Linked DNA regions of Pelodiscus sinensis. The protein of the gene in region 2 purifies or fractionates together with the protein of the main gene of each other region. This does not show direct contact. Links are inferred from orthologs where the notes say so. Each region holds a gene or a part of one and is shown on either strand. Other genes may lie near its edges. The genes, in order: ATF3, CCAAT/enhancer-binding protein beta and ATF2.

Region 1 (7,348 bases), on a different chromosome or scaffold from region 2:
CTGTACAGTATTGGAACAGAAATACACTATATAGGGGAAATCATAGCAAAATGACAGCCTAGCATACTCTAGAATAGCTCTTCTAAAGAGCCCAGTTCTGTGATGGCTTTACATTGCTGTAGCCCCGCTGAGTTCAACAGAGTTGTTCTTCAGTTGCATGTGGAAGGGAGAGGAAAATTAGGTCTTTTATGTTTATAGTAATATCAAAACTTAACAGTAGCAAAGCCACAAAAGACTCAGGAAATCAGATTTCATCTAAGAAGTCATTAAGCAGGACTGATATTTAGGAAAGTAAATTTTATATATTTATATTTCATGAGGCCTGTGATACCAGAGGAAATCATAGGTAATACCACTGCTTAATGAAGCTTCTCCACCAGAAACAACAAATGAGAGATCAGAATTGGGTCCCAGATTATATATCTTTTCTCTGGCAGATATCCTACAGCTCCATACGTTTAATAGAAGAGGGAATGCAGAAAGCTTTTGCTAAGAGGATTTGAGCCTTATTGCTTAGCTATGTTACTGGTGGCCATATTTATGTTTTACTGATATGGACACTGAAAATGAAGTGTGGAGGTGGGAGAAGCAGGATTTGGGCCAGAAGATGGTGAATGAAAGAATCCTTTTCCCTGTGCCAATTCAGGATGGAGATTTTCTGAGAGTCCACAATAACAGAGCAGCAGGTTATGAGTTAGTGTAATTGCTCTTTGTAGAAATACCCAGTGAGTAATGCTATAAATGCTTTGGTGATCATATACTGTACCTAGATCAAGACTTAGCGGCTACATCTAGACTGGCATGATTTTCCGCAAATGCTTTTAACAGAAAAGTTTTCCGTTAAAAGCATTTGCGGAAAAGAGTGTCTAGGTTGGCCCGGACACTTTTCTGCAAAAGCACTTTTTGCGGAAAAGCGTCCGTGCCAATCTAGACGCGCTTTTGCGCAAAACAAATCTGAGCTGTCTACACTGGCCCTTTTGCACAAAAGCTTTGCGCAAAAGGACTTTTGCCCGAACGGGAGCAGCATAGTATTTCCGCAAGAAGCACTGATTTCAGACAGTAGGAAGTCAGTGTTCTTGTGGAAATTCAAGTGGCCAGTGTAGACATCTGGCAAGTTTTTTCTGCAAAAGCAGCTGCTTTTGTGGAAAAACTTGCCAGTCTAGATACAGCCAGCAATAATAATTAAAACTGACTTCAGCTCACTGAAACTATTACTGTTTCAGTCAGATTGATCCCTGCGTTTTCTGGTAACACTAGAGAAAGGAAACCTAAGAGGATCAGGGAATATTCAGATAAAGGAAGGTGGAAAATATTTGTGAACAGTTGAAAAGCAAAACTACCAAAAGTATTTAAGCATCTTGTGGATCTATTGTTTGCTTTAACATCCTCACATTCTTGATGGATATATCAGTTCATATTAAGTTGAAACCAGAACAAACCCTACATCTTTGCTGTCTGAGGTCAAGGAGAATTTGACATTGAAGTAAATAGGAACAGGGTGGGGCCCTGTATGTTAATGAAACAAAGTGCAAAACTTTGGTTTCATTTTTATTATAGTTTCATTTTCTTCTGACTGAGGAATTTCATGCCATGATAGTGTACAGAACACTAACTTTAAAACATGCATATTTTCTCCCTCTATGTTTATTCTAAGGGGAGGAGCTCTCTCATATCAATAATTTAATACATAACATACCTATTTTATGGTCAACAGCATTTTTCATATTAAACATATTTCCTTGCCAATGATGATAGTAGAAGTAATGAAGCTGCATGAAGCAAAAGTATCGGTCTGCTTAGTATTATATTATACCTGTGAAACACTGATCATGACCATTTTTAGTGACACTTAAAACAGGTTAACAATATTTATCTTTGTTAGGTGTTTCTCACCAATCTGAAAGATGAAGTAATGTATTTAATCTTCCAAATTGCCTCATTTGTGTGACTTTGTTCAATTTAATTAAAAATGTTCAAAATAAAATTCCATCGATAATACAAGTAGGTAAACAATTCTGGGTAGTTGCTGAAGTTTCTGTATTACACTCAAGGTAATGTAGCAAAATAGCTTCCCATAATAACTCCATGTTTCCAGAACTTTCCACAACATTTACATTTTGGGATGAAATTCTCCATGTTTACCTTCTGTCTTTTTGTGAGACTGAGCAAAGTCCTTCCAGCTATTTTTGGATGTGGCATGAGTGAAAAAAATACCCCTTTGCTGTATAAACAATTTAACTACAAGGCTACTTTAGAAAACAGCTGAAGTTTGAAGCTTGAAACTAGTCATAGACAAGTCCCCAGTCCCCAAGAAAGAGTAATTTTTGTTGTTGTTGTTAGTAAAATAATTGCAAAAATAAAATTGGATTTACAAAAATAAAACCTTGTGAAGGGTGTAAACTGGCTGAGATATTTACAGTTCCTGCAGATGTGTACTTAAAGAGGGGTGACAACTATATGAGTGCACAGTTAGGTTGTGTGCAGCAACTGATGTTTTAGAACTTGCAAGGGATCTAAAACTGAACAAATAACTGGAATAAAGAATTTGGCATTAGAATCTATAAATCCAATTATACCAGGTCAGGGTGTTACAAGGAACAAATGTACCTACACACTGCAAAGATGATCTAAAGTATGCAAGCCAGATTTTCTCTGTCTAACCCCACCCCATTCTCCTTAAAAAGTAGGAAATTAAATGCAAAATGCCATTGTTAATGAAGTGTTTAAATTTGTGAAATGAAGCCATGCAAAAGTCATGACATTTACAATTTTAAAGTTATCAATGTTAGATTATCCCCAATGCACATAGATAGCCCCTTATTAAATGCAGACCTTAAAGTAGTACTCTTGCGTGTTAATACATTGTATGTATTTACTGATGTATATCATAATATGCATACACACTCAGTACACAAAGTGGCTGAATTAACATGGCTTGAATGCCTGAGTTTACAAGTTAAAGTTGTGTTCATGCTATTTTTGTATGTATATGTAAGTATAATGTTGTGTATATGTGTGCGTGTCTTCGTGAATACTGAAGTGCATTAAATTATATCTTAACTTTGTTTCGTGGCTGTTAGAAAATAAAGTAGGATGTGAACTGAAAAAAGGAAAACCTTCTCCTCCCCGTAAGGCTTCAGTCTTTCTCCTCCCTGAAGCCAGAAGGATGTTAGTTGCTATGTTTTAAAAAGGCTATTTTTTTAACTCCCTGATGTATCAGGAAAGGGGGTCTTTAATCTTTCCGGCTAAAAATTAACGTCAGCCCACTCAGTTTGTGCACTGACCATTTAGGGGCTCTGCAATCGGGGAAGCACATCGCTGTGACGAAGCTCATATTTTCAATTCTTTTGCAAGCTTCAAAAACTAGCGCAAAGAGGGTTTTGCTTTTCTGAATAAAAAGCCCCTCTCGCCCACACCCCCGATTCCTAAGAAAGCCTGGGAAGATGCGGAATAACACACGCCCCGTGCCGAAGCGCCCGAGGAAGCACGTTCCCGCCGCACGGGGGAAGGGAATGGAGAAGTGAATCTTCTCTAGAAATCATGATCGGACAGTTTTTGGAGGGGAAGCTACCTGGGCTTTCTGCCCTTTCCAAAAGGACCTCGAGTCTCTCAGTGAAATGCCCTCCCCTCCGAGGGCTACGGCCCTTCTCTCCTCGCACACCTCAGCTAAATCTCCAGTGGGGACGAAAACTTCCAAGAAGGCGCGAGAGGCACCGGCGCGGATTGTGGCAGTGTCAACGCGCGAGCCCCACGCTGCTCCCCTTGCACAGGGGCAGCCCAGCAAGGCTGGCGCTCGTACACACCCTGTTCACACACACAGCGGCGCGGTAGCAGGGAGGCTAAAGGGCCGCACAAATGCCTGATGCACAATTGCACGTTCCCCCCCTACACACGGAGAGATCGGATGGGGGATTTTCCAGCCGTTAAATGGCTACAGAATCCAAGCCTTTCCCAAAGGAGCCCTTCAACGGACCAGTTCTACCCCTAATTCCGCCTGTCTGTCATTGCCATCCCGGCGCCGCAGGCTGCCAGCGATTCGCAGTCACGCAGGTAGCTTGGTCTCCATTGGCTCCGCAGGGTGACACGCAGCTGCCGGAGTTAACATCTGGCGGCGCGCCCAGGCGGCAGCAGTCCTCTTATGGGGCGTGTGCGTTCCAGCCAGCTCCCTGGCTCCTCCTCCCGGCCGGGACCGGGAGCGTCTTGCATCACCGCCCGGTGCGCGCTGCTCCCCCGCCTCCTCCGGCCCGGCTATTAATAGCATGACATCAGCCAGGCGCTCGCCGCCAGAGTAAATACCAGCGCTGCCCACTCGCCTATATAAGGAGGGTGATGCAACCCCTCGCACAGGCAGATTCAGGCGCGTCCGGGGAAGGAGGCTCTGCTCTCCTATCGGCGAACTCGGAACTGCCCGGCAGCGGCGCCCCCAGCCCGAGAGACGCGGGCAGCCCCTGCTTTCAGCGCGGGCTCGCTCCTCGCTGCGCTCGGCCCCTCTGTGCTTGTCCCGGCAGCGGAGAGGCGCCGTGAGAAGCGGCGGGGAAAGGTCAGTGAGCTGGGGAAGGGAGGCGGGCGGGCGGCGGCGAGGAGACCGCGACTCAGTCAGCTGGTTCTCCCGGGAGCGTCGGCACTTTGCTAAGCGACTGATCCCAGCCAGGGGACAGGGTCTGCCCGGGCCAGTCGGGCGGGCTGGCGGCTTTGCGATCGGATCGTCCGCAGAGCCACAAGTGAAAGCAAAAGCTCGCTGGGCAGAGCGGCGTTTCTGAGTCCTGGAGCCACGCGCACCAAAGAGACCCCCCCCCCCTTCTGCCGCTTGGGAGCCTGGCACGCGCCCTGCCCCCGGGCACGGCTCGGGAGCCCCCTGTGACACCGAACAAGTTCTCACAGGAGTCCGAGCCCCCCTTGCGCGTCACCGGCCGGAGCCTTGGGCTTTATCAGTCGAGCCCGGAGCGGCACTTGTGGAGCGGGGCAGATGTCGCATCTGGCCACCCCCTTCTTCCGGGCGGCGAGTTTGCCGATGTGAGCGCCCGCAGTTGCTCTCTTGGCTGCTTCATTCGTTTCTCTTGGGCCGGGGTAGCGCCGGAGGCCACGGGGAGGAGGGGGGGGGGGCGCATCGCTCGACAGTAAGAGCGCGGCTCTGCTTGTCGGCGGGACGCCCATCGCTCCTGAGCTGCTGCCAAAGTTTTGCCAAAGTAATGTAGAGAAAAAAGTTAGTGACGAAGCTCAAGGCACCCTCTGACTTCTGTAATGAGGTAACGGCGATGACTGTGTCGGTTGAGATGAAGGATACACATAACTCCCAAATGAAGCTCTTTTCCTTTGTTATTTTGGGGGAACAGTGACCTCTTTTGATTAGAGTACACACAGACAAGAAGTCATGTCATCCTGCGAGGGGATGAAGAATTAGCGAGAAAGTCACTATTAGACAATAATCGTCGTTTTTTCTCCACTGACGACTAACCCGAACAAGATCAGTTGCTGAACTGTTGCCTAACTAGGATTGAGTGACGACGCAACAGAAAACTGTTACACACAGAACCAGTTTCCTGTGTGAAATCGATTTTCTTGGTAGTAACAACAGCAGAGACGTTCGAAGCCTGAAAAAGAGGTAGTTATGATCTGGAATGTCAGAATCCTAAAGGCCAATTTGAGTACACAGAGGTTGTGAACGGTAATTGCCCTTTAATGCCCTGTCAGATTAACCTGTTTGGCTCTCATCGTTTATTACGTCAGCAGCCGAGGAAAATGAATTTATCTAGGGAAATACAGCTAAGTCATCTGCAGTTAAACCAAATGGAAGCTAGGAGTGAGGGTGCCCTGAAGTGTTAATTATTAATATTAGCATTAAACTTGAGCACACTTTAAATAACATAAATGCTAGTTTGGACTTCCAAGAATGTGTCCTGACACAACTTCTCAGAATGGGAGAGGGGAAAACTAAAAGCAGTGGGGAAATTATTAATAAAATAACTATAAATGGAAGGAAGCATTAGTTTTGAAAATTATCTCTGAATAACTAGCAATGTATCCTGTCTGTTATAGAAACAAAACTGTCTAATGGGATCTTATTTGTAAAACTTATTATTTTGTCTTGATCATAAGATTCTGATGGAGGAGTGAGCACTTGCTCCAGGGATGAATTGAGCCTCTGTGGTCCTATTCTGTGGGGTGTTCAGCACCTCCATCTTCCACTTCAGTGAAAGATAAAGATGTTCAGCACCTTACCAAGTGGGATCTATGTAGTTGTATGGACTTGTAGTTAAACAGAAAGGCCTAGATGTCATTTTTTTTCTTGGGTTAATTATAGAGCAAGTCCAATTGTGTTAGTGCTTTACAAAGTGAACCAGGTCCTTGACCCAAATAACTTATAGCCTTAGATAATTTATAGGAAAATGACTGGGGAAAAAAGGATGCAAAACAAAATGTTTAACTTTTGCTTGTTCTATCTTGAATAAAAAATGTTTCTAACCAGAGGATGATATCAACATTACAATTTTATATCTATTTACCAAGTATACATCTAGCATTCTGTACTTCTGATGTAGTCTACCCAGAAGTGATGTCAGTGATTAACTAGTGGCTGGGCTGGAGCAACTTCTCGCCCACCTGTGGTGCAGTGCGGTAGGCCCAGCTGGACTAGCCCCCAGCCTCAGGCAGGCTGCAGCTCAGCCTGGCCCGCCATGCTGTGGGCGGTGGATGCTCCATCCAGCTGAAGCAGCCTCCACCTGAAGTAGGCCCTGACCACAGTCTCTGTACTTCTGATATGGTTCTGATTTATCATTATTTGTATTCTCATAGTGTCTGGAACCCCATGGAGCAGAACCCTACTGGGCTAGGCACTATACAAACAAGACAAAAAGACAGTCTCTGTCCCAAAAGAGCTTACAAAACAGGTCACCAAAACCAAAAAAGTTGAAAGTAGCAGCAAAATCCACCAAAGAAAAACTAACCCAAAACAATATTCCCACAAACCTACCTGCCCACAATCTTCAGCCCCTTCATGAATAGCAGTGTCTTTCAGGATGTTGGAAGGTCAGGAGACTTGGGCAATTTCAGGCCAAGGGGAAGTGCAAGTTCTGAAGTCAAGGGTGACTGTAGAAAACAGTCTCCCATTACTCTTAAATCATGGAGACATCAGTAAAAGCAAATAAAGTTATAAAAGGGATTCTAGCAAAATTTTGTTGCTAGTGGATATTTGAAAATAACTCCTCCAATTACTAATGAAAATCCAGCATGGACAATATTTCTCATGATATTTTCCATTAAAACTGTGAACATTCTTGGTTTCTTTTGGTGGTAATGCTGATTTTAATTAACATTTTATCCAAATATGTTTAAAAGAAAAAAACAGACC
Region 2 (7,089 bases):
GCAAAAGCTAACCTTACCTCCCTCCCTCCTTTCCCATCCCTCTCTCCTCCTGTTTGTTTGAAGTGTTGTCTTGCCTTTTACATTGCAACACTGTGACTGAATCTGCCTCTTACTATATGTCTGTACAGTGCCCAGTACAGTGGAGCCCTGATCTCACTGAGAACTCTAATGACTAATTGCAATGCAAGTAATAAAGAACAAGGTAACAATTTGCAGTGGGAAGTATTTGGAGTTTTTATACAAATGCAGTCCGACTCTTACTACAGAGCAGTAAATAGTGACATTTTGGTAGGCAGAACTTCCTATGAACTCTTCACTCTTTGATCTGTTGGCATTATACAGTTGTGGTCTGTCCAACGCTGACAGCAGCTCTTTCTGGACTGTAGAAAGATATGGGAATGCAGAATTGGAGATCTTGGAACCACTGTAAATCAAGATAGAGCAAGTCTCTGAGTGAAAAGTTTCTGCAATGCTTTGGCATGGATCTGAGCTTGGGAAAACATGGATCTGAGCTTGGGAAACCAGGTGCTCCTGTGATGCTACAGTAGAGCTGTGAATCAGGGAGCAGAATCCAAGATAGGCTGGGAAAACCAGAGGCTGTGTCTACACTGGCCACTTATTCTGGAAAATCAGCCGCTGTTCCGGAATAATTTGCCAGCTGTCTACACTGGCCCCTTGAATTTCCGGAAAAGCACTGACGATCTACTGTAAAATCATCAGTGCTTTTCCAGAAAAACCATGCTTCTCCCGTTCGGGCAAAAGTCCTTTTCTGGAAAACTGTTCCAGAAAAGGGTCAGTGTAGATAGCACAGATTTCTTTTCCACAAAAAAGCCCCGATCGCGAAAATGACAATCGGGGCTTTTTTGCGGAAAAGCGCGTCTACATTAGCACGGACACTTTTCCAGAAAAAGTGCTTTTCCGGAAAAGCATCCTGCCAATGTAGACACGCTTTTCCCGGAAAGACTTATAATGGAAAACTGTTCCGTTTTAAGCATTTCCGGAAAAGGGTGCCAGTGTAGACGTAGCCAGAGTGATCTCTGTAAAACAGATCGGAATAGGCTGTGTTCTCTTTGTCTTTTTTCTTTTATATTCATTTTGTTTCACTCTTTCGCTGTTTGCATCCATCTTCTTCAAACAAAGCAGTGAGAACTTGTGTTTTATTGCATTAGAAATAGCTGGTTGGGAATTGGGGGTCATTCTTTCTTTCTTTCTTTCTTTCTTTCTTTCTTTCTTTCTTTCTTTCTTTCTTTCTTCTCTCAAAAATGACTTATTTTGAACAAAAAAAAAAAAAAAGAATAAAATTCAGGCCTTCCCCATCCCCACAACAAAAAATATTCTAAACAAGCAGACATTTACTTCAAAAAATGTCTTCTTGTCAGTAACCCAGTTTTCTTTCAAAAATGTTTTCAAAAACTTTTTTGGATGAGCCTTAATAAAAAGTGCTGCAACTTTCACTTTCATCTTGGAGAAAAAACCAGAGCTCAGCACCCTCTAATAGGAGCATCTACTTCTCAATACCTGCATAGAACAGCTTTCTAGAGCAAAAACTCCTGAAGAGCATGAAAACACAGAATGTGAATATAAATAACCATAAAAGCAGCCCTGGCTCACTGCAACTTACCAATATTTCCATTGTGTAGAGATGTTTGGATCTATACAGATATAGGCTCAAGTCACAACATTCAGATCCAGACCTGAATCCAGGATTCTTTGTCCAAGCTCGGCTCTACAACTAAGGCTAGGTCTAGACTACAGTCCTTTGTTGGAAAAAGCTACGCAATTTTTTTTCCGATCACTTTTCCGGAAGCGGCTTTTCTGCCATTTGGCCCAGTCCAGATGGGGCCAAATGGTAGAAAAGCCTCCTCTTTTGGTGGATCCCTTATCCCTTATAGAACGAGGTATTCAGGGTTCCCTGAAAGAGAGCATTTGCTCTTCTGCAAAAGAAGGTGGAAGAGCAAACACATTCCTCGGACGTGGCAGAGTTTTTCTGAGGTATCCCAGAAACCCCCCGCAGTGTAGACATACCCTAAATGTGCTTATTAGTAAATGTAATTCACCAAAAACTACTGCATAAAGACAGAAATATTGGAAGTCTACAAACCTTTTAGTGTACCTTTGCTATTGAAGTTGAAAGAAAGAAAGAAAGAAAGAAAGAAAGAAAGAAAGAAAGAAAGAAAGAAAGAAAGAAAGAAAGAAAGAAAGAAAGAAAGAAAGAAAGAAAGAAAGAAAGAAAGAAAGAAAGAAAGAAAGAAAGAAAGAAAGAAAATGGTTCATAGCATGATTTTTGAATTCTTCCTCTTTTCAAAGTCTGAGGTTTGAACATTCATGAACAGTTGACTGTTTGAATTGTATAATGCAATACCTGTTCCTCTGGCTTAACGTTGCAATATTTCCCACACCGCAGGATTGCTTCACATTATTCTATGAGGCAGTGTCATTTTCTCTGCAGTACTGGGTCTTCTTTACTGAAATGAAGGACACTCCTACTTCCTTTAATTATATGTTTTGTTTTAAATTGATGTCTTTTATTCTGAGCATGAATCACCAGCTTGTATACAGGTAAATGTGGGAGTAACAGGGAAAATGTAAGTTTGATTCCCAAAGTGGGTATCTTTAATTAAAATAGGCATAAAAATTTATTCTTACAAATTTACCATGGCCTCTCCAAATCAATGCTACTGTATACATTAATATATTAATAAATCATTGCATCCTGTCCCTTGACACAAATATATCTCACTTTCCCCCATTTATTTTAAATACAGTTCCTTAAATGTGGGAGTAACAGGGAAAATGCAAGTTTGATTCCCAAAGTGGGTGTCTTTAATTAAAATAGGCATAAAAATGTATTCTTACAAATTTACCATTGCCTCTCCAAGTCAATGCTACTTTATACATTAATATATTAATAAATCATTGCATCCTGTCCCTTGACACAAATATATCTCACTTTCCCCCGTTTATTTTAAAGACAGCTGCAAGAGCACAAACTCCATATCACTTGTGTACTCTGACAATTGCAACATACTACATAAGGCAAACACGCCAGGCCAAACATTAAGGCCGTCAGCCCTGCACACAGAGGTGATGGGGGAGTTTTGGATTTGCCTACCATTTCTAATTGCTGGTCTTCTTCTGAGGCAGTGCCTTACCCTGGTTTGCGCCCAATACCACATGCTTTTTACACCCACTGTGGCAAGCTAGTTCTGAATGTGTCTGTATGGGATAATTCTGCTTGCCAGCTCCATAAAATTCACAGAGCATTGAATTGGTATTAAGATCTGGCTTCTATTCCTGGCTCTACCTCTGATTTGCTAAGTTATCTTGGGCAAATCCCTTAACCTCTGTGCCTTAATTTCCCCGTATGTAAAATGGGGATACAGACACTCACCCACCTCAGTAAAACAGGTTGAGACCTACAGACGAAATCTACAGATATCATAAGCCTTAGATGCAATGGATCCAGCTCCTACTGGCCTTTGCTAGCCACATCTGGCCATTTGCTAGTCCCACAGCTGGACACCCAGTGGTTTGCATTGGGGAAGCAGGGGAAAGAGGCTGAAATCTGGGGAAGAAGGATGGGGGGGAAGGGAATCTGGTATCTGCTTTTCCCCCTCCTCTCTGAGGACATATTAGATGGGAGGAGAGGGGCAAAAGGGTTTAGTCCATATTGATACATGGGCAGATGCAACGTCCCCCTGTGTGAGCTACTGTGTCCATGTCGGAAGGTCCCATCAGGAGTGATTATAGTCCAGTGACATCGCCTGTAGATGTGACAGCAGCTGGCAAAAGTATAAGGCGGTTTTCCCTGTCTCTGGCCCAAATCTTCCCTCCCTTCCTTGAGGGTGAAAACGAGCCCCCTCGGCTGCGACGCCTGCCCTGCTTCCCCGGTGAATGACGAGGTCAGAGTCCCACACGCCAAGTGCCTCCTGCGGAGCGAGAGGCACTCGGTACAACTGTACAAAGTGTGCACCATGTGGCAGCCAGCCAGCCAGTGACGTCCCTGTTGCCATGGGATCCACCGCCCCTATAAATAACAGCAAAGGAACTTTCCTAAGTCAGAGACTTTAGGACTCGGACCTAGAACCAGATGGTCCGGAGAAAGAGAAGCAGCCGCCGCCGGATCTGAGCCAGCCCAGGTGGGCAGCACAGCCCAGAGACCGAGGCAGGATTTGGAGGCCCCCGCATCACCTTCGGCAGCTTGATCCCGCGGCTGGGGGGCCCCCTGCGCTGTCTCCTCCTCCCTGCACTCCCCTTTGCTTTCATGCAACGCCTGGTGGCCTGGGACCCAGCATGCCTCCCTATCCAGCCACCCGCCTTTAAATCCATGGAAGTAGCTAATTTCTACTACGAGGCGGACTGTCTGGCTGCGCTGAGCAAGCTGCACCCGCGGGCGGCAGGGGGCCGCTCCATGACCGAGCTCACCGTAGGGGACCACGAGAGAGCCATCGACTTCAGCCCTTACCTGGACCCCTTAGCAGCATCCCAGGCGCCGCCGCCGCAGCCTCCGCCTGCAGCAGCAGCAGGGGGCAACTTTGAGCCTCCCTGCAGCAGCGGCGCCAGCCAAGATTTCCTCTCCGACCTCTTCGCCGAGGACTATAAAGGCGGCGGCAAGAAGCCCGACTTCACCTACATCAGCCTGGCCAGGCACTGCCATCCGGGCGCCGGCCAGGCCCATAAGCCGGGCGGGCTGCTGCCCTGCTTCCCGTCCCAGATCGTGGAGACCAAAGTGGAGCCGGTCTTCGAGTCCCTGGACTCTTGCAAAGGGTCCCTGAAGGAAGAAGGGGGCGCCAGGCCGGGCGCAGGGGGCATGTCCTCCCCTTACGGCAGCACCATGCGCTCCTACCTCGGTTACCAGTCGGTGCCAAACGGCAGCAGCGGCAACCTGTCCACCTCGTCCTCTTCCAGCCCCCCCGGCACCCCCAACCCGTCCGATTCCTCCAAGTCCGGCGGCGGAGCGGGCTACGCCGGGCCGCTGGGCTCCAAGAACAAGAGCAAGAAGAGCGTGGACAAGCACAGCGAGGAGTACAAGCTTCGCCGGGAGCGGAACAACATCGCGGTGCGCAAGAGCCGGGACAAAGCCAAAATGCGCAACCTGGAGACGCAGCACAAAGTCTTGGAACTGACCGCCGAGAACGAGCGGCTGCAAAAGAAAGTGGAGCAGCTCTCCCGGGAGCTGAGCACCCTCAGGAACTTGTTCAAACAGCTGCCCGAGCCCCTGCTGGCCACGTCGGGCCACTGCTAGCCCCTGCGCTGGACACTGCTAGAGCCGCAGTGGTTGGGGTTGGAGGGGGAGAAACTGGGGAGGAAGGATGGGGGAGGGGGCGGTCTGGTAGCTGCTTTCCCCCCTCTATGAGGACAGATTGGACCGGGGCTGGGGAAGACACGGGGAGAGACTTAAAGGTTTGGTTTGTTGTTTTTTTGTCTTTTTTTTTTCTTTGCAATCCGGTGGAAGAAACTTCCGCCGCAGCCTGAGTGTTGGTCCTAGGAGGGGGACTCCCCTGGCGGGCGCCAGGGCCCTCCGCATCTTGTGGCGGAATGACAGTTGCCGATGGTAATTTTTTTGTAATGTTACAACCCCACCGAGGCACCCTTCCCCTTCCTCTGTCTGTGCAGAGTTTGTTGAATGTTCGTGTTATTTAAAACAGAGCGAGAGAAAAAGCAGAGAATGATGCAACCCTTTAAACATGGCTGGGAATGCTGCGTACACATGATGCAATCTCGTGTAACTGTCAGTCATGGATTGAGTAATCTGTTAAAGATGTTCCTGCGGTTTTTTTTATTATAAAGAATAATTCTATTTCTATACGAAAATACATATGTATATTTTGGGATCTATAGACATTCTTGCTACATTTGAAGCATTAATGAACAATTTTAATAAACTTTATGGCTAGGAAAAAAGAAAGAAAGGAAACTTGTTTTATTTTAAAGGCACTTTAACGCCAGAATGAAATCAGTTCAAATGCCAGCTAGATCTGGCTGTGTCAGGAATCATTTTGTTGGCCTTTTGACTCTCTCTGTGACTCAGCAAAAAAGAAAAAAAAATGAGAGAACCAGAGAAGACCAGATGTGGGAACCACAGCCAGTTCCCTCTTGCTGCCTCACTTAATTTCCTCTAACCCCTTGAGTTAAATTCTGCTTGGGTTTTTCTGAAATACTAATAACTCTCCCCATTCAAACCATGAAAAATGTTTGACAAAGTCTCTCCAAGCAAAGGACAAGATTAAAGCAGGGGAGAGGTTGGAGGAAAGAAAAAGAGAAGGAGAAAGCTTGAAATAAGGTGGGATTTTTCTTTAAAGCTCAAGTTTTTGTAGTCTCTCAGTTTCATGACTCAGTATTTCTGATGCTGGGGGTTTTACAGCAATGAACAGTGATAACATGTCATTTTTGTGTTGGATGGCTGTGAACTGGGGACCTCTCACATAACTAGGCTCAGTGAGAAATGTGTGGACAATGCTCCCTATAATTTCCTACTGAGCCTTCTTTTTAAAAACTGTTTCTAAAAAATGCTGCTGATACAGTTGAGTTCTTGAAAGGTGAGTGCGGTGGTGATGGTAGTGAATGGGTCAGGTGTGTGGTTTGGGTAAAAGGTTGGGTATAGGAGGATGTATGTATAGAGCCCTAAGGACTTTGTGACAAAGATAACAGAGGCTCTGCTAGCAGATGTGGGATTTGTCGAGGTCTGTGAGTTGCACATGTCTTGGCTCTCTGTAGTTTGCTTTTGTGTACCTGCCTGTAAAATATTATTTTACAGCCTAGAGCTGATTACGTGCTGGGAGTTGGATACATGTTCAGGTCTTATTCAGCATTTTCCAGCATACTAGACAGACTCTATGCACATCCATCTTCTAAATCCAGATGTCAAAAACTACCAGGAAAGAACTTTCTTAATCCTTCTATAGCTGTACTTTACAGTAGGATGCAAATGTTCTGTTTCCTTAATGGTAATGGATCTGAACTTGTTTTATGCTTTACTGTAAAGGATAGTGATTGGGAATGGGTGTGGAGCAGCCTTGAATTTGGTGTTTACGGATATTGATTTTACTCAAAAATATGTAGTATAACGAGGGAGTTGTTTTTAATTTT
Region 3 (7,985 bases), on a different chromosome or scaffold from region 2:
CACCTCCTTTGGCTGCCTCTATATAATAGAAGCAGCCAAAAGTGGGGGGGGGGGGGGGGGAAGGGGAGAGGAGGGCGGACATTGACTAGTCAATTGACTATCTGATAAGCATTTGCTTATCGGATAGTCAGCTAGTTGACTAGTCTTTAATATCCCTAATAGAAGTGTAAGTTAACAGTGTCCGATACCATGAAACTCTATATTTGGTGTACACACACACACACACACACACACACCAGTAACATCCCATAGCTCCAAGGAGGAACATGGACCTATGTGTACCAAGATGCAAGAAAGCAGTACCTGCCTACAAGGGCTTACAGTGTAATTTAAGACAAGACATAGCAAGAGAAAGTATCAAGCAACACGGAATGGTTGAAGAGACTACAGGGTCACTGTAATAAGATGATGCAGTTAAATAAGCTAGCTAATGCACACAACTTGACTTCAGGAAGTATCATCATATTATGCTTGTCACAATGAAAGTCTTCAATGGGTTCTTTACAAATGGGAATTTGATAAACATTTTTTGAAAATGGAAGCATACTAGGACGAGTTCAGATTAAATTTCAGAAAAGCAATACATATCATGAAATAGATAAAGATTGGCACATGGCTTTTATTTGTGATCACAAATATCCACAGACAAAAAAAAGATGAACTACAATGGCTAAAAATGGAATTAAATCTTGACATAACAGGCACATCAGAAACATGGCCAAATGTCAAAAGTTAATGGAATACAGTATTATCTGGGCATATCCTATCCAAGAACAAACTGTGTGGGAGCAGCAGTGAACCCATAAAGATTTAATATAATCAAATAAGATAAAAATTTCTGAGTAAAAAGGAGGATACATGGCAGAATCTGTATAGTTATAAAATGCCTAGTGAAGACTACAGATATCAACAAAATTAAACTTACCAACCTCTAAGTCTGAGTAAAGACATTGTGTGTGCAATGAAGATCAAAATATTAATGTACAACTTTAACTACCCAAATATAAAATGATAAATAGGTTTCCTACCCTCCTGCACAAAATGCATTTTTATTAATGTAAATTTCTGACAGTAACCTTTAATGTAACAATAAGCCCCAATAATGTTTTAGATTTTTTTTGTTCAAGTTCACTCATTGCAAAAAGGCCCTTTGAAATATGCTAAGTGTTATTTTCATGGCGCTTTAGTAGATTTTATAACTAAGAGATTAGAGCATTATTCTACCTAATCCAGTAACTTCTTCTCTGGTTCTAGTTCCGCAAACACTTGCTTTAAATAATTGAGCTACTACCAGTAATGAAGTAAAGTTAAATTTATGCATAAGTGTCTGCACTATTGGGCCTCTAATAGCAGCCACTACCAGATACTTCAGAGAAAGGTTTAAAAAAAGTCTTGCATTTCACAATTATGGAAACACCTGTCCACAGGGTTCCCCCCCAGCTGCTACTGGTTGTCTTATACTCTAAAGCAATAGCTGTTTTCCCCTCCTAAAATATTTCAAATGGAAGCACAGAGCTCTTTGGAAATTTTAGACATGGTTTGCAGTTCCCCACGCCCCCGCAGGAGTCCATGGACCACAGGCTGAAAACCACAGCCATCGAGCATAATTTGAATCTTATACCTTTTTACCTTATCTAAACTAAATGTGGATATTCTCAGTAGACACAAAAATGGCTATTTTAATCTGCCTAAACTCTTGCACTCAGAAATTGCTTCTGCTGTTGTCCCAAACTAAATCCAAGATTCATTGACTAGGATATAAAGGGAATAAAGATTTTACTAAAGGCAGGGAAAGGATGGAAGATAGAAAACAAAAAGCTCAGAATTCAATTATTTGGAGAAAAAGATAAGCATAGAATTTACTTTTTTGGGGGGGGGGGGGGAGAGAGAAAAGGCATCCAAATTACATGAGATACAAGAGTATCCCAACTCATTTCATTTGCAAAGACAGTATTATTTTGTGTGAGGGAAACCAAAAGATTGCAAATTGTAAAATAAATTTACTAGGTGGTGGGAGTGGACATGACAACACATTAAGTTCCTAGTACCTACAATAGTGAACAATCCTGAGGCAAGAGATGGGCCCCTCAGGGAAGATGTTCACAACCTTCAATATAACTATCATGCTTTGAATGTCTGGGCATCAGCTCTGCCTCTCATAAAGAGTCCTCCAAAATGGGCCACAATAAGTGAAAGGTTATTGAGAGGACCCTAAAGAAAATACCTACAATTGGCAGCACAGTGTCGAGCTCCCACTCAACACAGTCACAATGGTGATGTGCCCCAGCAGAGCACTACAACCCAGGCCAGGCTGGAAGTAGGTACAGGCCACACAATCGCATCGGCACTTACGGGCAACAGAGCGACAGCCCCCTCTCTGGCTCTGCCCTCCCCTTTTAGCACTTGCTGAGGGCACCTGGGTCTCCTCTCCCTCCACCCGCCCCTCTCTACTCTCAGGCAGTCACAGGCGAAGAGAGGAACCTTCCCGCTTCTCCTTTGGCTCGGTCCCGTCGCAGCAGGGGAAGGGGCAGGCCCACTTTACCCTTGCAGGGGAGAGCGCCCCCAGCGCCCCCGGGGACGGGTGGGAGCCGGCTGTATCTATCAGGGCAGCCCGCTTCCGGGGAAGAAGCCTCGCCCTGCTCCCCAGCCCCCTCCTTGGGGCAGCCGCAGGGACCAGCCTACCTCGGGGGCGGGTAACAGTCTCCTGCGCGCTGGCTCCGGCCCGAACCCCGCGGCTCTAAGGGTGGCGGGGGCCACAGGCGGGGGTCTCCGTGGAGAGCGGCGGCGCCATGTTAATACCTCCCGGGCACCCCCACTTAGCCCAGCCCAGCCCGGCCCGGCCCACGCCGCCCCCTTCCCTCGCCCGCTAGGGCCGAGGCGCCGCTACCCACAACACCCCGTTACAACGCGCCAGAGGCGCTGCCCTTCGCCGCGCTCTGTTTACAAACTCACCCGGGGAGAGGGGCCGAACCGCACATTAAAGGCCGGGTCCCCCATAGGCTTCCGTCCCTTCTCGCGATAACTCACTGGCATCCCCCCCTCCCCAGGCCGAGGGAAAGGGGTCACGTGATCCACGGGAGTTGCAGCTGGCGGTAGCATAGAGAAGGCCCCTGATTGGTTTGCAGGGTGGGGCCCTCTAGTGTCTGGTTGGCCGGAAGCGCTCAATTGTGGGGGCGGGGATGGACGCCTGTAGGTGGCGTTTTGCTAAGCTGGTCTTCTCAAAGTCGAGCGGCTGGAAGGGCAACGTTAGCGCCGCGTCTCTAACGACTGGCCCAGGGCTGCTCCCGCGTCCGGGTTAGAACGGAAGATAATGCGGGGGAGGAGGGGCATGACAGAGGAGATTTAAAATCGACCTCGTGACCGTTTTGTGGTAATTCAAAGTGCATTGTCTTTGGGGGCAGGGGCCGTCATTTTGTTCTGTGTACAGCCCTGGCAGCACAGTGGGGTCCGGGTGGGTCCCTGACTGAGGCTCATCGGGGCTATGATAATACAAATGAATTATGTTAATTAGTGTTACCCCACTCACGTTAACTCTCTACTATCCTGGGCCTAACACAAGGGCAGCAACACTGCAAACAACGGTTGTTCTTTGAGACCCTGTGGGATAAAGATTATAGTAGGAGCTTTATATAAATGTAAAATAATTTGTGATTGCTCATTGGGCTTGAAAGGCTCAGAGCAGGAAGCAATGGGGATCTTATACTTTCCAAATAATAGATGCTGGGAGTGCTAGAAGTGGTTTCCATCATAAACAGGGTTTGTTAAGTGGTTCTCAAAACTCTTGACTGTAGAGGCTGTGTCTAGACTGGCAAGTTTTTCCGCAAAATCATCTGCTTTTGTGGAAAAACTTGCCATCTGTCTACCCTGGCCACTTGAATTTCCGCAAAAGCACTGACGATCTCATGTAAGATTGTCAGTGCTTTTGCGGAAATACTATGCTGCTCCCGTTTGGGCAAAAGTCTTTTTCTGAAACACTTTTGCGTAAAAGGGCCAGTGTAGACAGCAGAGATTTCGTTTCCGCAAAAAAGCCCCGATCGCAAAAATGGCGATTGGGGCTTTTTGCGGAAAAGCGCGTCTAGATTGGCCACGGATGCTTTTCCGCAAAAAGTGCTTTTACAGAAAAGCTTCCTGCCAATCTAGATGCGCTTTTGCGAAAATGCTTTTAACGGAAAACTTTTCTGTTAAAAGCATTTCCGGAAAATCATGCCAGTGTAGACGTAGCCAGAAAGTATACCAAGCCAACACCCTTGTTCCAACTATACCACTTTTCTTTCATAGCCATTAGCGCCAAGAGATAATTTGTTCTGTGGGGACAGGAGGTAAGAACAGACAGAAGAGGAGAGACAAAGGTGGATCAGAGACCGAAGACTGCCACAGATGTGTGCCACTGGAAAAATCTGTACAGTAAGGCTACGTCTAGATTGCATCCCTTTTTCGTAAAAGGGATGCAAATTAGACGTATTGCAATTGCTAATGAAGCGGGGATTTAAATCTCCCCTGCTTCATTAGCATAAAAATGGCTGCCGCTTTTTTCAGCACGGAGCTTTGCCAGAAAAAAGCGCCAGTCTAGACGCGGATCTTTCGGAAAATAAAGCCTTTTCTGAAAGATCCCTTATCCTCTTATTTAGAAAAGAGTGATCCATTAAAAAGGAACAGGATAAGTCTTCTGGTTAAGCTTATTCAGCATGGATAAGTGATCCAAAGTTAGATACTATCTCATAATAGCAGATTGAAGTAATTCAGGATTACTTGGCAGGTTGTCTATTGAAATTATAGTGTGTAATCATGCCCAGAGGTTATCCTAACTTAATGCACAGAGGTAGAAGTGAAGTCATGTTACAGTGTGAGCATTTGAATGAGCAGATGCTTTAACACTGAGAAGCGAGGTAGGCGTACTGCCGGACAAATCACATTTTAATTTGGACCAATTCCCAATGTTATCTGGAAGAGTATCTTGGATACAATTTGGTTCTGAGTCCATTGTGGCAGGAAAGCAAGAGTTGCGTTGCTCAACTTTTACTAATAGGTAGAAGGGCATGGTTTTGGATATATAAATATTCTTATTGCAGGGGTTTGGAGTAAACTAATAAAAGTTGCAGTCATTTGTTAAACCAAAAAAACAATGTTCAGAGCCTTTATTTACAACATGGTATAGTTGTAAAAATTAGCTAAGGCATGCTCAAGAAGCAAAATGACCACTGAATGACTAAATAAAACAAATGTATAAACATATGACAATTATGTACAAAAATTACACTTCAAAACTGGTAGGGATCTGGAATACCAAACTATATAATAATTTCATTATGCCTTATGAAAATTCTGACAAGGAAGAATTTAGAAATTTTCATGTGCAGGCCTTATCCTCATATCATTCTTACCTACTGACACACAAGGAGTATTTTCTGAATTATAACTAGAAAAACTTTATAATTATTGAATTTGTATTTTCCATGCTTTTAAATATAATCGTTAGTCATTATGGGTGCGTCTAGACTGGCAAGATTTTGTGCAAAAGCGAGTGCTTTTGCACAAAAACTTGCCAGATATCTACACTGGCAGCTTGAATTTGCACAAGAGCACTGACGTTCTAATGTAAGAATTCAGTGCTTCTTGCACAAATACTTTGACACTCCCGCTCAAGGATAAGCCCTCTTGCGCAAGAATACTTGCGCAAGAGGGCCAGTGTAGACAGGCACCTTAATTTTTTGTGCAAGAAAACCCGATGGCTAAAATGGCCATCAGAGCTTTCTTGCGCAAAAGTGCGTCTATACTGGGCACGGATGCTTTTGCGCAAAAACATCCGTGCCAATCTAGACGCTTTTTTGTGGTAATACTTTTTATGGAAAAACTCTTCCGTTAAAAGTATTTCCGCAAAATCATGCCAGTCTAGACACAGCCTTAAATGTATGTGATCACTCTCAGCATTGCTCCAAGTTTTTTCACTTATTGGCCAGTTTGGTTCCTGGCAATTTTGAGGGACTAGGTCACTTCTGTCAACAATCTCCATAGGGGTCAGACAAAGTTGCTAAATACCTTGTATTCTATGAAAATGAACCACAGGGAATGTACCCAGAAATCGCTACATTTCAGGGTTACACCAGCATCATCATCAGTATTGATGTACACTGAGTGCAACTGCCCACGTGTAACACTCAATTGTCATTGTTCTGTATGACCGAGCTCTAACAACTTGTGATGTTCAAAATTAGACTGCGGTGATTTTTAAGTTGACAATGTCCTTTTAAATAAAATACAAAATGTTAGCTAAAACATTTTGAATTTTAATTAGAAAATTCCAGCAACTACAGTACTAAAAGCATCTTTGTGGCTGATCCAAGACAGCAAGGAAAGTTTTATAAACGAAGCAGGAAAATGTTATGTAATTTAAACATTGCTTATTGCTACACTGAAGTGGTAGATATATTTTTAGCTCTTCAAAATGCAGTCATAAGTTTTACAAATACTTGGACTGCAAATTATATATATAACAAAATGTTAGTGTTATCAGCAGAACAAAGTGTAGTCCACATGGTCACCTGAATCCAATTAATATTAGTGAGTCTCACAGTTAACAGGGCAATGAAATTTCCTCAAGACTACAATGCCTAAATAGGGCTGGCTGGTATCCGGTTTTGAACTGGAGAGTCCAGTATTTGAGCTTTCTGTTCGGGAAACAAATTGAGAAAATATAAATGTCCAGTATTTTCTAAATAAGATGTAATGTAGATTGTGATTTAATGTCACAATTTTTGTTGAAACCATCCGGCAACCTTATGCCTAAAATGTAATGGGGAAAACAAAAGGATCTTTCTTTACAAGTTTGTCTTTTTGAACTAGAATGTTTATGTCCTTAAACAATGCAGCAAAAAAGTATTGCTATAAATTTTAACTGTTTCCTTTAGTTATGTAAATTTTTATTTTAATTATACCTAAAGCAATAGCTCAATTACACGTAAAAATTGAATCTATATTTCACATTTAATTGACGTATCTGAGGCTTGTTGATCATTAAGTGACAGTAAGTATTCCATAATGGGTCAGACAATGTCGACTCAAATCGTATTTCCATCTGAAACATTTAACTTTCGTAGATACAAATGTAGCAGCTAAAATTCCTCTGAGAATAAAGAATAAAATGATTTTTTTCCAGTTTGTCAATTAGTGAATTATCTGACCTCTCAGTCCTCATCCTCAAAGGAAATCTGTGCATCATCTTCAAAACACAAACATGGGAGCTTAAACTCACAACTTTGTTAGACTAAAAATCATGGACTCAGTAAAGACAGTGTTTTACATGAGCCATACATTCAATCTATAATTCACCCAATCCTCCTTCTTTGTCCTCTGACTACATAAGTGTTAATCCTCCAACTTCACCTTGCATGGGTGCATTACAACATTTGTGATGCTAAACAATCTGTCCATCTTGTATTTAGCTGTGATACTGTGAATACTTTCCCCAGACATGAAGAAGAGCTCTGAATAAAGTGCAAAAGCTTGTCTTTCAACAGCAGAGGTTGGCACAATAAAAGATCTCACTTCCCCCATCTTGTCTCTCCAATTAGTTGTATAATCATTATCACAGAAAAAAGAACAGGAGATGCATGAGAAGTGTCTGCAAGCATGTTTGGTAATGTTATGTATGGGTCCACCAAAAGAACCCTTTAAATAACAGCAGACCCAGGACTGTTTTTTTTCAGTGTGTAAAGTGCTTCACACAATGAGGTCTTAAGACATGACTGGGATTCTTAAGCTTCAGGGGGTAGCTGAGTTAAGTTTGTACAGAAAAAAACAACAAATAGTCTGGTAGCACTTCATAGACTAAAAAACATGTAGATGGCATCATGAGCTTTCGTAGGCAGTCCATTCTGGTCATCTGAAGAAGTGGGCTGTGCCCACAAAACCTCATGATGCCATCTACATGTTTTGTTAGTCTATGAAGTACTACCAGATCATTTGTTGTGAGATTTTTAACTACAGCA

The links.
Region 1: the proteins of CCAAT/enhancer-binding protein beta (region 2) and ATF3 purify together in Homo sapiens (affinity purification with western blotting; 3 studies listed by BioGRID and IntAct, with this or other methods). This does not show direct contact. The link is inferred for Pelodiscus sinensis from reciprocal best matches to the Homo sapiens genes CEBPB and ATF3.
Region 3: the proteins of CCAAT/enhancer-binding protein beta (region 2) and ATF2 purify together in Homo sapiens (affinity purification with western blotting; 3 studies listed by BioGRID and IntAct, with this or other methods). This does not show direct contact. The link is inferred for Pelodiscus sinensis from reciprocal best matches to the Homo sapiens genes CEBPB and ATF2.

Annotation. Positions count from the first base shown.
Region 1 is NC_134713.1:147,438,123-147,445,470, forward strand, and holds the start of ATF3 (cyclic AMP-dependent transcription factor ATF-3), read left to right. Parts: upstream 1-4,247; 5' UTR 4,248-4,540; intron 4,541-4,553; exon of another isoform or gene 4,554-5,602; intron 5,603-7,348.
Region 2 is NC_134728.1:19,311,931-19,319,019, reverse strand, and holds the start of CCAAT/enhancer-binding protein beta, read left to right. Parts: upstream 1-4,063; 5' UTR 4,064-4,264; coding exon 4,265-5,245; 3' UTR 5,246-6,283; intron 6,284-7,089. UniProt on the Homo sapiens protein: Important transcription factor regulating the expression of genes involved in immune and inflammatory responses. Also plays a significant role in adipogenesis, as well as in the gluconeogenic pathway, liver regeneration, and hematopoiesis.
Region 3 is NC_134717.1:44,025,576-44,033,560, forward strand, and holds the start of ATF2 (cyclic AMP-dependent transcription factor ATF-2), read right to left. Parts: upstream 3,078-7,985; 5' UTR 2,953-3,077; intron 2,946-2,952; exon of another isoform or gene 2,683-2,945; intron 1-2,682. UniProt on the Homo sapiens protein: Transcriptional activator which regulates the transcription of various genes, including those involved in anti-apoptosis, cell growth, and DNA damage response.